4 linked regions of the Saccharomyces cerevisiae S288C genome follow. Each later gene encodes a partner of the first gene's protein in a complex. Each region holds a gene or a part of one and is shown on either strand. Other genes may lie near its edges. A codon is read from its position in the direction of its gene.

The links.
Region 2: DAD2 (region 1) and DAD1 share a complex: the UniProt entries of both Saccharomyces cerevisiae proteins name them as parts of the DASH complex.
Region 3: the proteins of DAD2 (region 1) and SPC19 are in contact, whole or in part, in a cryo-EM structure (PDB 8Q84), measured with the Saccharomyces cerevisiae proteins. Residues at the interface, in NP_013009.1 of Saccharomyces cerevisiae: Ile10 (codon at 875), Lys13 (codon at 866), Glu14 (codon at 863), Ser17 (codon at 854), Leu18 (codon at 851), Ile21 (codon at 842), Leu24 (codon at 833), Thr25 (codon at 830), Gly27 (codon at 824), Leu28 (codon at 821), Gln31 (codon at 812), Leu32 (codon at 809), Glu34 (codon at 803), Leu35 (codon at 800), Gln38 (codon at 791), Glu41 (codon at 782), Met42 (codon at 779), Asn45 (codon at 770), Ser48 (codon at 761), Val49 (codon at 758), Gln51 (codon at 752), Leu52 (codon at 749), Asn55 (codon at 740), Ser58 (codon at 731), Asn62 (codon at 719), Gln65 (codon at 710), Glu122 (codon at 539), Thr123 (codon at 536), Met124 (codon at 533), Val125 (codon at 530); in NP_010487.3 of Saccharomyces cerevisiae: Met1 (codon at 998), Thr2 (codon at 995), Leu5 (codon at 986), Glu6 (codon at 983), Ser8 (codon at 977), Val9 (codon at 974), Leu12 (codon at 965), Glu13 (codon at 962), Val16 (codon at 953), Leu19 (codon at 944), Lys20 (codon at 941), Val23 (codon at 932), Leu26 (codon at 923), Lys27 (codon at 920), Asn30 (codon at 911), Ser33 (codon at 902), Thr34 (codon at 899), Ala37 (codon at 890), Leu41 (codon at 878), Thr43 (codon at 872), Lys44 (codon at 869), Arg45 (codon at 866), Val46 (codon at 863), Phe47 (codon at 860), Arg48 (codon at 857), Leu49 (codon at 854), Val50 (codon at 851), Pro51 (codon at 848), Glu52 (codon at 845), Tyr53 (codon at 842).
Region 4: DAD2 (region 1) and DAM1 share a complex: the UniProt entries of both Saccharomyces cerevisiae proteins name them as parts of the DASH complex.

What each region holds. Positions count from the first base shown.
Region 1 is NC_001143.9:595,921-599,320, forward strand, and holds DAD2 (Dad2p), read right to left. Parts: upstream 903-3,400; coding exon 501-902; downstream 1-500. Other genes in the region: NUP133 (Nup133p), read left to right, coding at 1-378; ribosome dissociation factor GTPase HBS1, read right to left, coding at 1,135-2,970; mitochondrial 54S ribosomal protein mL58 MRPL20, read right to left, coding at 3,174-3,400. UniProt on the Saccharomyces cerevisiae protein: Component of the DASH complex that connects microtubules with kinetochores and couples microtubule depolymerisation to chromosome movement; it is involved in retrieving kinetochores to the spindle poles before their re-orientation on the spindle in early mitosis and allows microtubule depolymerization to pull chromosomes apart and resist detachment during anaphase.
Region 2 is NC_001136.10:477,543-480,748, reverse strand, and holds DAD1 (Dad1p), read left to right. Parts: upstream 1-1,990; coding exon 1,991-2,275; downstream 2,276-3,206. Other genes in the region: inositol polyphosphate kinase KCS1, read left to right, coding at 1-1,634; HED1 (Hed1p), read right to left, coding at 2,464-2,952. UniProt on the Saccharomyces cerevisiae protein: Component of the DASH complex that connects microtubules with kinetochores and couples microtubule depolymerisation to chromosome movement; it is involved in retrieving kinetochores to the spindle poles before their re-orientation on the spindle in early mitosis and allows microtubule depolymerization to pull chromosomes apart and resist detachment during anaphase.
Region 3 is NC_001136.10:853,597-857,314, reverse strand, and holds SPC19 (Spc19p), read right to left. Parts: upstream 999-3,718; coding exon 501-998; downstream 1-500. Other genes in the region: RAV2 (Rav2p), read left to right, coding at 1-417; VPS64 (Vps64p), read left to right, coding at 1,222-3,036; RKM2 (protein-lysine N-methyltransferase), read left to right, coding at 3,343-3,718. UniProt on the Saccharomyces cerevisiae protein: Component of the DASH complex that connects microtubules with kinetochores and couples microtubule depolymerisation to chromosome movement; it is involved in retrieving kinetochores to the spindle poles before their re-orientation on the spindle in early mitosis and allows microtubule depolymerization to pull chromosomes apart and resist detachment during anaphase.
Region 4 is NC_001139.9:716,996-720,424, reverse strand, and holds DAM1 (Dam1p), read right to left. Parts: upstream 1,533-3,429; coding exon 501-1,532; downstream 1-500. Other genes in the region: chromatin-remodeling histone chaperone SPT6, read right to left, coding at 1-16; cytochrome oxidase assembly protein SHY1, read right to left, coding at 1,898-3,067; YGR111W (uncharacterized protein), read right to left, coding at 3,395-3,429. UniProt on the Saccharomyces cerevisiae protein: Component of the DASH complex that connects microtubules with kinetochores and couples microtubule depolymerisation to chromosome movement; it is involved in retrieving kinetochores to the spindle poles before their re-orientation on the spindle in early mitosis and allows microtubule depolymerization to pull chromosomes apart and resist detachment during anaphase.

The sequences.
Region 1 (3,400 bases):
GTTAAAAAGTTCTTGAATGCTTTGGTATGGAGAAGAATCGTTCTACTAAATGCTAGTAATGAAGGAGATAAACTGCTTCAGCATATAGTCAAACGTGTTTTTGATGAAGAACTACCCAAAAATAATGATTTCCCCTTGCCCAGTGTGGATCTTTTATGTGACAAATCGTTACTGACGCCAGAATACATAAGCGAAACATATGGCAGGTTTCCTATTGATCAGAATGCCATACGTGAAGAGATATATGAAGAAATATCTCAAGTGGAAACGTTGAACTCAGACAACTCACTCGAGATAAAGTTGCACTCGACTATTGGTTCTGTAGCGAAAGAAAAAAACTATACCATCAACTATGAAACCAACACTGTAGAATACTAATATCTATAATACAATTTTACATATATATAATAAACTTTACTGGGGAATGATAATAATAAATATGTATATGCTATTATCGCAACTGCCTTCTTCCGATTTATATAAGATCCTTTTCTTTCTGTTCATTCGTTACCATCTACCCTAATTCTGACCATTGTTTCCGGCAAGGGTACCAGATCTTCATCCTCATCATTATCTTCATCATTCTTATCATTTTCTTGCGCTTCAAGACCTGTTTCATTTGATTGTTCAGATTCCTTTTTCTTAGAATCTTTCCACGGTCCTATCTCATAATCACCCTCTGCATATTGCAATAATCCCAAACTTGCTTGCGATATATTGTTTATTATAGAATCCCAATTGTTCATCAATTGGGCCACTGAATCCGCATTCATTCCCATTTCTTTGATCTGCTCATTCAACTCTGTTAGCTGAATTTTTAAGCCATCCGTTAAACTGGTTATCTTTTGTAATGACTGAAGTTCTTTTCGCTTTATAGCAATTTGTTCATCTATTGAATCCATAATAACTGTCTGAATTATGAGTTTTTCAAACCTATTCAATAGTTTTTTAGATATATTCAGAGGCAGGTATTCTTTTGTATTGTCGCCCTCTAACCTTTTGTAAGTACTTTCATATTTTTATTTTCGCGTTACACTAAATTCAAATATTAAAAAAGGATCGCTATTAATGTGTAGAAATTGAAAAAATTACATACAGAAGCGTATAAAATTCTTATCATCTATTTTCACCCTTCTACTGAGTTATTTCGGATATTTTACCTGCCGCAATGGTTCTACCGTCCTTTCTAAGAACAACTCTTCCCAAACGGTCATTTTCATGGGCAGTTAATAAAGGAATCCACCTCTTTACTTCAATTAGTTCTATTTCTACAAATGCTCGTTGTTTAGAGCCTAGATGTCTAATCTTTTTCTTGCTTGCAGTATTGCCCTTGTCTATAAATGAAATCAATCTTTTGATTCGAGCAGGTTGCTCCTTGACTCCGATGAAAAGAATAAACGGTGTTCCTGGCAGCAAAGGTCGGTTCATGTCAAAGGTGGTCAATTCCAGAACAAAACACTGTGCTGAATGAATGGACGAATAATCAACTGATGCTGCCAAATCACCATTTTGAATATCTTCTGGATAGGCTTTGCGCAATTTCAAAGTGACAAAATCACCCTTAATGGCAACATCTGTCTCTTCGTGATTCGTTGATTGGCCCTGTTGAGAACCAACCTGAATTTTATCCACAATACAACTCTGTTCCGACGGATATATTGTCAAAGATTCACCAGGTTGAATAGAACCTGATTCCAATTTTCCTGAAACTAGTGCTAAATCGTTACTTGTTTTTTTCGATGGGATGATCTCCAACACAGAAAACAAAAACGGATCATCTTTGTTAATTCCTTCATTCTCCTTTGAAATCTTGAACGCCGCATTTTCCAAAGTAGACATTAAGTTAGGACCATTGTACCATTGTCTCACTTCATCTGTATATTCAATTTTATAAACACCTTCTCCGGAAAAGCCACTGATAGGTACCCAATTAATATTATCCTCAAAAAACCCAATATCAACCAGATATGGCAACAATTTCGATTTAATCTCTTCAAACCTTTGTTGGGACCAGTCAACATTATCCATCTTATTCATAGCAATAATCAGATTGTGAATTCCAAGACTAGATGCCAGTAGCATATGCTCCTTTGTTTGCCCATCCAAGTCAAATCCTGATTCGAAAGCATTGGTGCTACAGTCTACACAAAGTATAGCCATATCTGCTTGTGATATCCCCATTATAGCGTTTGGAACAAAATCTCTATGGCCTGGCGCATCCACAATAGTAAAATTTGCCCTATGGGTAGAGAAATGCGATGTACAAATTGACACTGTTACACCACGTTCGCGCTCTTCATTTGTCTGATCCATAATCCATGCAAATTTGAAGGATGACTTACCCATAGTTTCACTCTCTCTTTGTAGCTTTCTCAGTTGGGATTGGTTGACAATGTTCAGATCATAAAGTAGTCTGCCCATTAGAGTTGATTTTCCCGCATCAACATGACCAAGAACAACAAAACTTAAGTGAGGTAAGGCAGATTTAACAAATGCAGAAATATCATGAGGTTTCTTTGGTTTCGTTGGCACCGTAGTCTTATAGTATCTTTGAACTGTCTTTTCATCATTGGCTTCCTCACCATTGCGTTCACCCTCACTTTCTTCCTCGTCAAGCCAGTCTGGAAGCCGATCATTTGGCCTTTGTTGCGAAATTGAGATGTTTGCCAGTTTTTGAGTAACATTCGCACTCCCATTAGCAGCAGCAATTGGCTTCTTTGGTGTCTTCTTCTTCTTCAAAGTTTTCTTCAATTCCGCCAGCGTGCTTTCCAAATCGAAATTGTTGTCAAACAAAGCTAGCTTAAGTGAAAGATTATCCCAGCCTTGGTAATCCTGTAACTGCGCCTTTAGAGTAGGAAATACCTCGTTCATTAGATCATATTCATCGTCATTCAAATAATCATCAAATTCACCTTCGTCGTGAAAGTCCGGCATGTCGTCTGCTCCATCGCTGTAGTCACTGTAAGCCATCTCGATAGTCAATAGTTGTCGAAGCAGAAGCCTTTGGGTGTCTCCAAGCTGTACTTAACTCTTTTTAAATTGCTTATTGGTTAGCTTTCATGTGGTATATTCAAGTCACATTAATGGGCGTCTCCGTGCATTGTGATCAATATATGAATACGAAGTACTTATAGAGTAGTATTTACACGATTGTTATTATATTTATATAGCATTCACGCCTGGTACCACAGGAGTTTTCTACGCTTACGGTCCTCTCTGGCTATACGCCTCTTCTCCTTCCAGCGTGATTGGATTTCTTGCAATCTACTTTCCATAATTTGTACATGTTGTTCACTAGGTTTCGAGACCATGGATACAAATAATGGCGAAATGCCATATTTTGCAGCCAAAAATTTGCGTGTATACTTTTGAGGATTGTCAAGACGTAACTTCCGGATCT
Region 2 (3,206 bases), on another chromosome or scaffold:
CGAATGATTCGTACTTTTCGTCCTCCTCTTCTCATAACTCATGTTCGTTCGGTGAGCGTGGCAATACAAATAAATTAAAAAGACGCGATTCTGGGTCCACCATGATCAATACTGAATTGAAGAACCTAGTCATAAGGGAAGTATTTGCACCGAAATGTTTTAGAAGGAAAAGAAACTCTAATACGACTACAATGGGAAACCATAATGCGCGTTTGGGTTCCAGTCCATCTTTTTTAACACAAAAATCAAGAGCCTCGTCCCATGATGCATCGAATACGTCTATGAAGACTCTTGGTGATTCATCGTCACAAGCGAGTTTACAGATGGATGACTCGAAAGTCAATCCGAATTTGCAGGATCCTTTCTTGAAAAAATCGCTTCATGAAAAAATATCTAATGCTTTAGATGGCTCGCATTCAGTAATGGATTTGAAGCAATTCCACAAAAACGAACAAATAAAACATAAAAACTCTTTCTGCAACTCTTTATCACCCATTCTCACTGCAACCAATTCTAGAGATGATGGCGAATTTGCCACCTCCCCGAATTATATCAGCAACGCACAAGATGGTGTTTTTGATATGGATGAAGATACGGGAAACGAAACTATAAATATGGATAACCACGGCTGCCATCTTGACTCTGGTAAAAACATGATTATAAAGTCATTGGCGTATAATGTTTCAAATGACTATAGTCATCATGATATTGAATCAATTACGTTTGAGGAGACGTCCCACACCATTGTTTCAAAATTTATCTTATTGGAAGATTTGACAAGAAACATGAACAAGCCTTGTGCACTGGATCTAAAGATGGGGACAAGACAATATGGCGTAGACGCCAAAAGAGCCAAGCAACTGTCACAGCGTGCAAAGTGTTTAAAGACCACTTCTAGGCGTTTAGGCGTTAGAATCTGCGGATTAAAGGTTTGGAACAAAGATTATTATATCACAAGAGATAAATACTTTGGTAGAAGGGTTAAGGTTGGTTGGCAATTTGCTAGGGTACTTGCACGTTTTTTGTATGATGGTAAGACCATTGAAAGTTTAATCAGGCAAATTCCAAGGTTGATCAAGCAACTAGATACTTTGTATTCTGAAATTTTTAATTTGAAAGGTTACAGGCTATATGGCGCGTCTTTATTACTAATGTACGATGGAGATGCTAATAAATCAAATTCTAAAAGGAAAAAAGCTGCTAATGTTAAAGTCAACTTGATCGATTTTGCACGTTGTGTTACTAAAGAAGATGCAATGGAATGTATGGATAAATTTCGTATACCCCCAAAATCGCCAAATATAGAAGATAAAGGGTTCTTACGAGGTGTGAAGAGCTTGAGGTTTTATCTGTTATTAATCTGGAATTATCTGACTTCTGATATGCCGTTAATTTTCGATGAAGTAGAGATGAATGATATGATTAGCGAAGAAGCAGATTCGAATAGTTTCACCTCCGCCACCGGTTCGAAAATCAACTTCAACAGTAAGTGGGATTGGTTAGATGAATTTGACAAAGAAGACGAAGAAATGTATAATGATCCAAATAGTAAACTAAGACAAAAATGGAGAAAATACGAGCTTATTTTCGACGCTGAACCAAGATACAATGACGATGCTCAAGTTAGTGATTGAAAAGAAAGGATAGAACTAATGAATATTCTTTTAGCTGCGCTTATTTCAGTCCGTAAATGCATTTATCTATTCGTAACTATCATTATTTTGATTGCATAATCCAATAAATACACAAACGAGCATAGCATATATAACTATATATATGAAAAGACAAACGAATTTGTACGTGTATGAATATGACTACACGGTTATAGGCGATCACTAGAACCATTGAGCGGAAAGGGCCACCTCCGGGTAAAAGTCAAGGCCGCGAAAATAACAAAGGGAATAAACAGTCACCTTTAACAAGAGGAGGTAGTAATTAGCGTAGGAATAGGACTGATGAAGAGCTCGGACGTGTGAGGATATATGTACATATGATGGCTAGTACATCCAATGATGAAGAAAAGTTGATATCAACCACTGACAAATACTTCATCGAGCAGAGGAATATAGTATTGCAGGAGATCAATGAGACTATGAATTCAATCTTGAATGGTCTGAATGGTCTCAATATATCATTGGAGAGCTCGATAGCTGTGGGAAGAGAATTCCAGTCAGTTTCTGATTTGTGGAAAACACTTTATGATGGGTTGGAAAGTTTATCAGACGAAGCGCCCATCGACGAGCAACCTACTTTATCTCAATCGAAAACGAAGTAAAGTTGCGGTTCCCTCTGTCTCTCCTAATATTATCCTAAATTTATGTTTACAGTCGCAAATTAGATAAAGGATACGTAAGATATAAATTGTAATTTTAGCCTAATGATAAGTAAGTTGTGGACAACTTTTGCACGTTGAAAAAAGTGGAGGGCCACCGAACTCTTTTTCAAACGTTCTCCTCTTTGAACTTAGTTGTCTACCGTTTTGGATGGTAATAGCTGTTTCTTGGATAGACCTACCTTATATTTAACCTTGTTAGAATCCACCTGATAGAATGTCTTGTTCGTTTCATATATCAAGTCCTTTAGGCTCTTCTTCTTCCTTGGAGGGCTTTTCTTCATTGAAGGTGGTGGTTGTAGCCTGTCAAGCTCTTTCGAGGGACCTCCTTGGTATTGATCTTGTTCTCTTACTCCTTTTTTGGCGTCCAGATAAGCACCCCCATTGGGGCTTCCGCCACCTGTGTTCTCAGACAGATTTTTGGCACGAAGTTGTTGTTTTTCCAATTCCAAATTAAACAGTCTTCTTTCTACAACGTTGATGTTGACTATGGGAGAAGTCGTAATAGACCTTTTGTTCTTTCTTGCTGGAGCAACTTCGGTGCACAAGCTCTTTTCGGCATTATTATGTACCCCGAGTGGTATATAGGAGCAGCTTCTCCTATTTGATCTTTGTTGCATCGTCTTGATTTCTCTCTTTCGTTCGTCTCTGACATGTAGTTGTAATTCAAGAATTTAACCTGGGCGGCTATCTTAATAAATAGTGCATTACTCAAGCAAAAATCAGAAACCACGTACGCTAATTAAAGCCGTGAAAAACGAAAATATAAATATGCGAGAGTATACATTAAAATATTGTACATGTTAGCGACGCAGATTTATACCTCGCCATTTTTAGTCTTGAATTGAGGTGATCTTTTATTAAAGAGCATATC
Region 3 (3,718 bases), on another chromosome or scaffold:
CTTTGCATAGAACTACGAAATCTAATTAAGGTGACTAAAAAACCTTGGTGCGAGATTGATAGTAAAACTGGCAGGTCATTTTGCGACCAAATAAGAAATCAAGTGACAAATGAAAGAAACAAAACTTTATCTAAGATCCTCTCAGAAAACGGTGTACAAGTCCAGGATTCCACATTACTTAACCACATAATTTCTTCTTTTCAAAGTGAAGCTATAACACTTCCAGAAGCTCAGGAATTATTAAGAAGGGGCGTTACTTTCGATAATAGGGTAGTCATGGAATGTGAAAAGTTAATAGTATCTACAAGTGATCCAACTTTGATCAGTATAAGCGCCAAATTGAACAGTCTCAAAGCTTCGATGGCGAACCATCAAGCAAATTTGGTAGCTAGCAAACAGTTAAGTACATATAAGTAATCTACTAGCGATAACATTAACAATAATTTATAATACAAACTGGATAAAGAGATAAATGGATGCTTTAAAAAATAAACTTCTAACTATTTCTGTTTGAGTATTTCCAACTTATTCTCCAGTTGCTTCTTCTTTTCCTTTAGTTTCTTCAATTCTTCCAATTCCTCATTAGTAGAAGATGCCATCATAACCACGTCGTCCGCGTCTCTGCCTTCGTATTCTTGACCCATGTCTGGACTATTCAGAGCATCATCGTCATCCATACTAATGTTCTTCTTTAGCCTTAAATCGTTTAATTCATAAGTTTGCTGCAAAGTATCGAGTTCCCTTTGCATTCTACCCATAGATTTACGTAACTTATCGCCCAGAGTCCTAACCAGCGGTTCTACCTCTTCAATCAAATCTAATTTTGATCTTTCAACATCATATTCGGGAACTAAACGGAAAACCCTTTTGGTTTGCAACATTGTCGATGCAAGGTTCGTGCTTGGCTCATTTGCACATTTTAAAGACTCCACAGAATCCTTCAATACTGAAACTGTTCCCTCCAACGCAAGGACGCTCTGTTCCAAAGCATCTGTCATGGTTATTTTGCCTATCCTTCAATTCGTACACAGATATATGCGTCTGTGATCTGTTTATTATTCATTTTCATTGTTGCTAACTACTACGCCCTGTGAAAACAAACTTTATAATCGCCAATAATAAATACATAATGAAAGTAAATCGCAATCCGGACCCCACGGATAGTCACCAGTCTCACCAACTGGAAATTAGAAGGAAGGAAGACAACTGTAAATTCTTGGCATGGTAGAACTGGAAAAAAGAAGACGGCCCCCTCCGCAACTGCAACATTCTCCCTATGTTAGGGATCAATCGAATTCGCAGGGAATGACAAAGACGCCAGAAACGTCACCGCCTAAGAGGCCCATGGGAAGAGCTAGATCAAACTCGAGAAGCAGTGGATCCCGTTCAAATGTCGATATAGATCAGTATACCATACCACCAGGCTTAGATTTGTTGCCTACCGCTTCATCTCCACCTTCCGTCCATCAAGTTTCACAACAGCAACAATTATCCCCAATATTAGCCAACAAAATCCGTTCTCCATTTGAAAATCAAAGTCAGGATCAAAATGACAATTCAATAGACCCAACACCGGCTGGACAAGTAACAATTCCTGTAGAAGCCGTATCTCCACCGGCACTGGACGAATTATCGAAATTCCAAAATGGTTCAACTGAGACATTATTTAGAACTGGATCACCCCGTAAGAAGCATACACATATTATTATACTCAAATCCTTAAATGCAACTTTTGAGACCAAGTTTCTTGTTGTACCATTTAAACCTGACGGACTTAAATTAGGTCGACCAGTTACCAATAGCGTAAACAAGAATAATTCAGGATCGAAAAGAGATTTATTTTCGCAACAAGTTAGACCAGATAACGGAAATTTTGACTCAAGAGTTCTTTCCAGAAATCACGCTTGTCTCAGTTGTGATCCTACATCAGGAAAGATATATATTCGCGATCTAAAGTCCAGCAATGGGACATTTGTTAATGGGGTTAAAATACGCCAAAATGATGTAGAATTAAAAGTTGGTGATACTGTGGATTTGGGAACTGATATTGACTCAAAGTTTGAACATAGAAAAATCAGTGCGTATGTGGAAGAGATTTCAGTAATTCCCTTAATGAACACTGTATCTGATCCCACAAATTTGGTGATGAAAAAACAAGATCATACTAATAAGAATAATGGGAACTCCACTAATATAAACGGAATAAAGATAGACAGAGGTCATCATAATCAACACATTCCAATACGATCTCATTTAAAGGAAAATTATACCGAAGCTGGTGTAACATCTGCAACAACGGCTCAAAGGGCAGCCTTTGAGGCAGCTATGTTTGGAGATATTAATAACTCAGAATTAGATGATGATATTTTAGGTCCAGAAACTGAGGTTCTCAGTGGAATTTTTATCAACAATTCAGCAGGTACAAGCATAAATTTGATAAATATGATAAAAACTTTGACTACTGAGCTGTCCTTAGAAAAACAAGAGCTGGAAAAATTACATTCCATGCAAAACTTTATGCAAAACTATACGATAAACCTTGATTTCATCAATAAGCACATGATTGATATGAATGAAAAGCATTTACTGAAACTGAGCACGGCTTTACAAAAAACTCTATCAGAAAATAATGATGCGCTACTCAAAGAATCGGAAGATCAATTAAAAGAAATCAAACAACAAAATAATAAAGTAAAATCTGCATGTAGCTTGAAGGAAAAACAAAACCATGAAAAGCTACAGGAGCTCGAAAGTGAATTAAGAGAGCTGAACCTTCAAATAGAAGAAGAGAGGGGAAAAAATTTAGTTTTAACACAAAGCAATTTTAATGGTGGTATTAACAATGACAATAACGCTAAAGTAAAACAAAATGATTCAAGAGAAGAAAAAAAGGATACCGAAGATACATTAATAAGCACTGAAGAACTAGGAGTCGTCGAAGGCAAGAGAACAAGAGTTAGTAAGGGAATGCTCTTTGGAGTAGTTGCCATTTCATTCGGTTTAGTTGCGACGGCCGTTAAGCAATTGCCACAATAACTCGAAAGAAGAAAAATACTACAAGCATAATCTACAAAGCAAAAACAGGGCTTGTCCTGTAGAAATGAGAAAAACCATATATTATAAATAAGCACATATTCCATATACTTTGAATATTGTTTTGCAATTCTGATCCACACTCTTTTTTTTCATTTTTTCAAGATTTCTTGATTAAGTAAAATTAAAAAAAAATTCGGGAACTCAAGCTAAAACTGGATGCGTCTACTCATCACCTATAGTCTCAAGATTGTCGAAGATACAGATTTTGAATAAATATCTACAAAAAAGTTACATAGTAAATTGCGAATGGAAGGAAAGGTTGATGTCTTGCTAACATGGCTGAAAAAATCAGATAAGTTTTATATAGCACCAAACATCAGCATCTGTGAATCGCCAGAAACTGGCAGAGGGATCGTCCTCAGTCACGGTTCGATAAGAAAAAACGATATCATTGTATCAGTACCGAGCTCGAAGCAACTAAATTTTCACACTATCCTCTATCATATTTCAAAGTTTAATAAAGAGCTGAATATTCCTGGTATCACAATCGATAGAAAGCCAATCAATTATGAGGACAATATTATTGAAGCGGAAAATAAAGCCTGGGCCGATCCTAGATATGGATTATATTCCGAATTATCGAAAGAGTTTTTGTTAAGTTTATCATCATTTCAATTGGTAT
Region 4 (3,429 bases), on another chromosome or scaffold:
CTCCCGTCTCTTCCATAAAAGGCAAATTCTATGTAAAGATTCTAGGCAATTAATGACCTGTTCGCTTGGGTTATTCTTCAAAGCACAAATCAATATCTTTCTTCCTCCTTTTGCTTTAACCGTTGTCCAGTTTCTTGTCAATTTGGTTTGCCATACATAACGAAAAAAAAATGACAGTTATAGAAAATATTACCCGAATTTTCCCGCACTTTTATTGAAGACGTTATATAAAGGGGTACTAACTAATTTAAAAATCATTCATGACTCGCATAGTGGCACAGTAATAGCCTCGACCGCCTGTCCGTATCTTCTTTTATATAGATATATCATGTTTCGTTGTAATGCGGGTTGTGCCCATGCACTGCTGATATGTGTACTGCCTTCCTCCCTATTGCTATAAAGAATCAGTCAGCTCATCAAATATTCTTCTTATCCATAACTCACGCATGCTAGCGATATATTTTGTGAGGAGGATAATTCTTTGGTTGGGTTGGGCGTAGTCATCTGAAGGGGGGCCTTGTATTTATTTTTTTTTCAGTTTTCTTTGCAACAGAATGTCTGCTTTCTGTGGGTTTCCTTTCAGCACGTCCTGAGAACATTGAATTTCTGTTCTTCGTAACGGGCCCATTGACCACTCTTGCAGCACCACTTCCGAGTGATATTCGATTATTTGGATGCAGATCTCCCAAATTAACAACATTGTCGTTTTCGATGGGTAAATCAGCGCCGGAAGCAATGCTATTTCTGATTGTATGTAAGATGGACTTTCTTCTCAGTTTACTGTTGGTATTATTATTCAAACGCGTGGTTTTAGTCACGTGACCTTGAGATGATTTGGACATACCGATATTTGTTGGATTTAGAACAAAAGAAGCTTCACTACTAGTATCGTCTTCATAGTCCTCCTCATTCTCTACTTGTAAGTTGTTGCCTATCTTGGAGGGCTTCCTCTTGTCTCTGTTGTCATATGACCTGTATTTTCTTACTTGTGAGGAGGGAAATAGCGGCTGGTTAAACTGTTTGTTCTGAGATGCCTTGGCCAAATCATTTTCACCTTGTTCGTCTTTTTTTCTTTTAATCCCGCGTTCCATATTGGAGAGTTCCATTACTAAGTTATTTTTCTCATCTTCCAACGATTTCAATTGTTTAATAGCGATCAAATCGTCTTGAATATCATGAGGCGCCTGTGAGAATTCTACGCACCATGAATTGCTCATAATACCGTACAACAACGAACCTAGGGATTCATTAAGATCAGCTAAACTCTCGTGGATAAAATTTAAGCGCGTGAAATTGGAATCTAAAGTAATGATTGAATCGCTCAGTTCTCTTATTTTAGGCAACAGAAGCTGTTGTATGGTATTCTCGTTATATTCGCCAACGGAACTCGTTAATCCCTCTTGATCAGCAAATTTCATCAGGGATGAGGATTCACCCATAGACGACCTTCTTGAAGTCGGAGCGCTACCAATGGATAAACGATATTCCGTGGCAGACCTTGTGGTCCCTAATTTAGCTTTATCTTCGCTCATAGGTGAAAGTGGCAATACAAGCCTTTTCTGATATTGTTTTGGTGCAATTGCTGAGCTTATACGCTCCAAGTTTCAGTGCAATTGGACAAGTTTAACGCCAAAGGATTCATGCGTCGATAAAACATGTTTGTTTTGGCTATTATTTATCGATATTGTCCGGGCAACGCGCAATGTTCATATCTTGAGCGGCACATAAGGTATATGGATAAAAAGGTGTTAGTTATGTACAAGTTTAAATTATGTAAATGTGCCATATCCGAATCATTGTAGTTGCAAAACTAATGTGGAAAACCGTTTAGGCAGTGCTCGTGAAATTACGCGCTTCTTGGATAGAGTTCGATAGTATGGGCAGAGGAGTTTGCCGTTTACATATATTTCCTTGAATGCTTCAGTTTCTCTTTCATTAGTTGGTCTTGGGACACAACGCCCCCTCTTTTCGCCTTCCTAAGAGCCACAATGAGGAAGATTGTGCTCAAAAACGAAAGGCCATACCACGTTACCAAATATTGTAGATGGTTATTCTTTAAATCAATAGTGGGCTTCCGGCCTATGGGAACACCTGCTTTGATAAACTGTCGTTCATCGAATTCAATTGTTTGGTCTGTCGGCATTTCCTGCCTAGAACGAGGCTTCGATGTATTATTATCAACAGCTTGCGTTCCGTTTACAGCAGTCGTAGGTTCTCGTTTCCAGAACTTCCACAGGCTAGAGGTGGAATTGTTTTGTGAAGCCTCGTTTCTTGTGTGTTCCTCGATTATTGGATGGTCCTTCATGTCATACAAGGCTTGAAATTGAATGGGCGTGCACCCTGATGATCTTGCCATGTCATATATGTCTGGCACCTGCCACAATCTAGAATTTGGATCCTTTTTCGCCCATTGTAGCGAGCCTCTTTTCTTTGGAGGTCTTACTAAGCAAACCACTTTCAAGTGTTCTTCTTGAGGCAACGACAAATGGTGTAAATTTCTTGAGTCAGGAGCAACTTTTTCTTCACTTATCCACCCTCTTTCTATCAGAACTTTCTCACCGGTGTCATCTCTAATGAACGGTGTAAACAGAAAATAACCCTTTTCTCCATTTTTCTTTCTTGGACCAACAAACATCTCTTCATTGTGAAGGAAGTGTCCGGTAAGTATAACTTTACGGTATTCCCAATCCTCGCACATGTCAGGTGTAAATGACTTAGGAAGTGGTATTGGTTCATAAGTAAGTTTAGTTTCGCATGCCGCAATCAGCTTGGTTTTCCACTTCAATCTCCTTACTTGCCAAGTTCCCAAATAGAAGGATATTATTGGCATCGCGAACATCAGACCCAGAACAATTTTCTTGCCAAAGGATCTTTCTCTTCGAGAATCATCATTTGGGCTCTTACCTGTCTTGATTGGTTTCCAGTCTACAGTTGACGTTATGATGCCTCGGTACTGTTGATTTCTTGAAGCTAAGAGGTACGTGGATTTGCCAATAGCATTCTTAGTCGGAATTGATGCAGCGATTGAAAACCAACGGTAAGTGGACCTGGCGCCTAGTAGAGACATTGCTTTCCTCTTTTATTAAATCCTGAGTATGGGTTACTGAATGCAAAACGGTTAAGATGGCCCTCTGTTTTCAGTAGTCGGCGTTATAGGTGAAAAATATTTCATCATTGCATAAGAATCCCTTAAATATACTCGGCTACATCAATGCGAGCTACAAAGAAAACTGAAAGGAAAAATGACACATACGTTCAGAAGTACTTTTAGAGAAGAGCACAGAAGAGGTTCAATCTATTACCGTATGTATTAGTATATGTGAATTTTAACAGTAAATAATGATATGTAGTTTGAAACCTTGACTTTTCCTGTATAAGCAACACAATATTTGACTTAAAACCAACAGAATTTGGTATTGTTATCCCAAA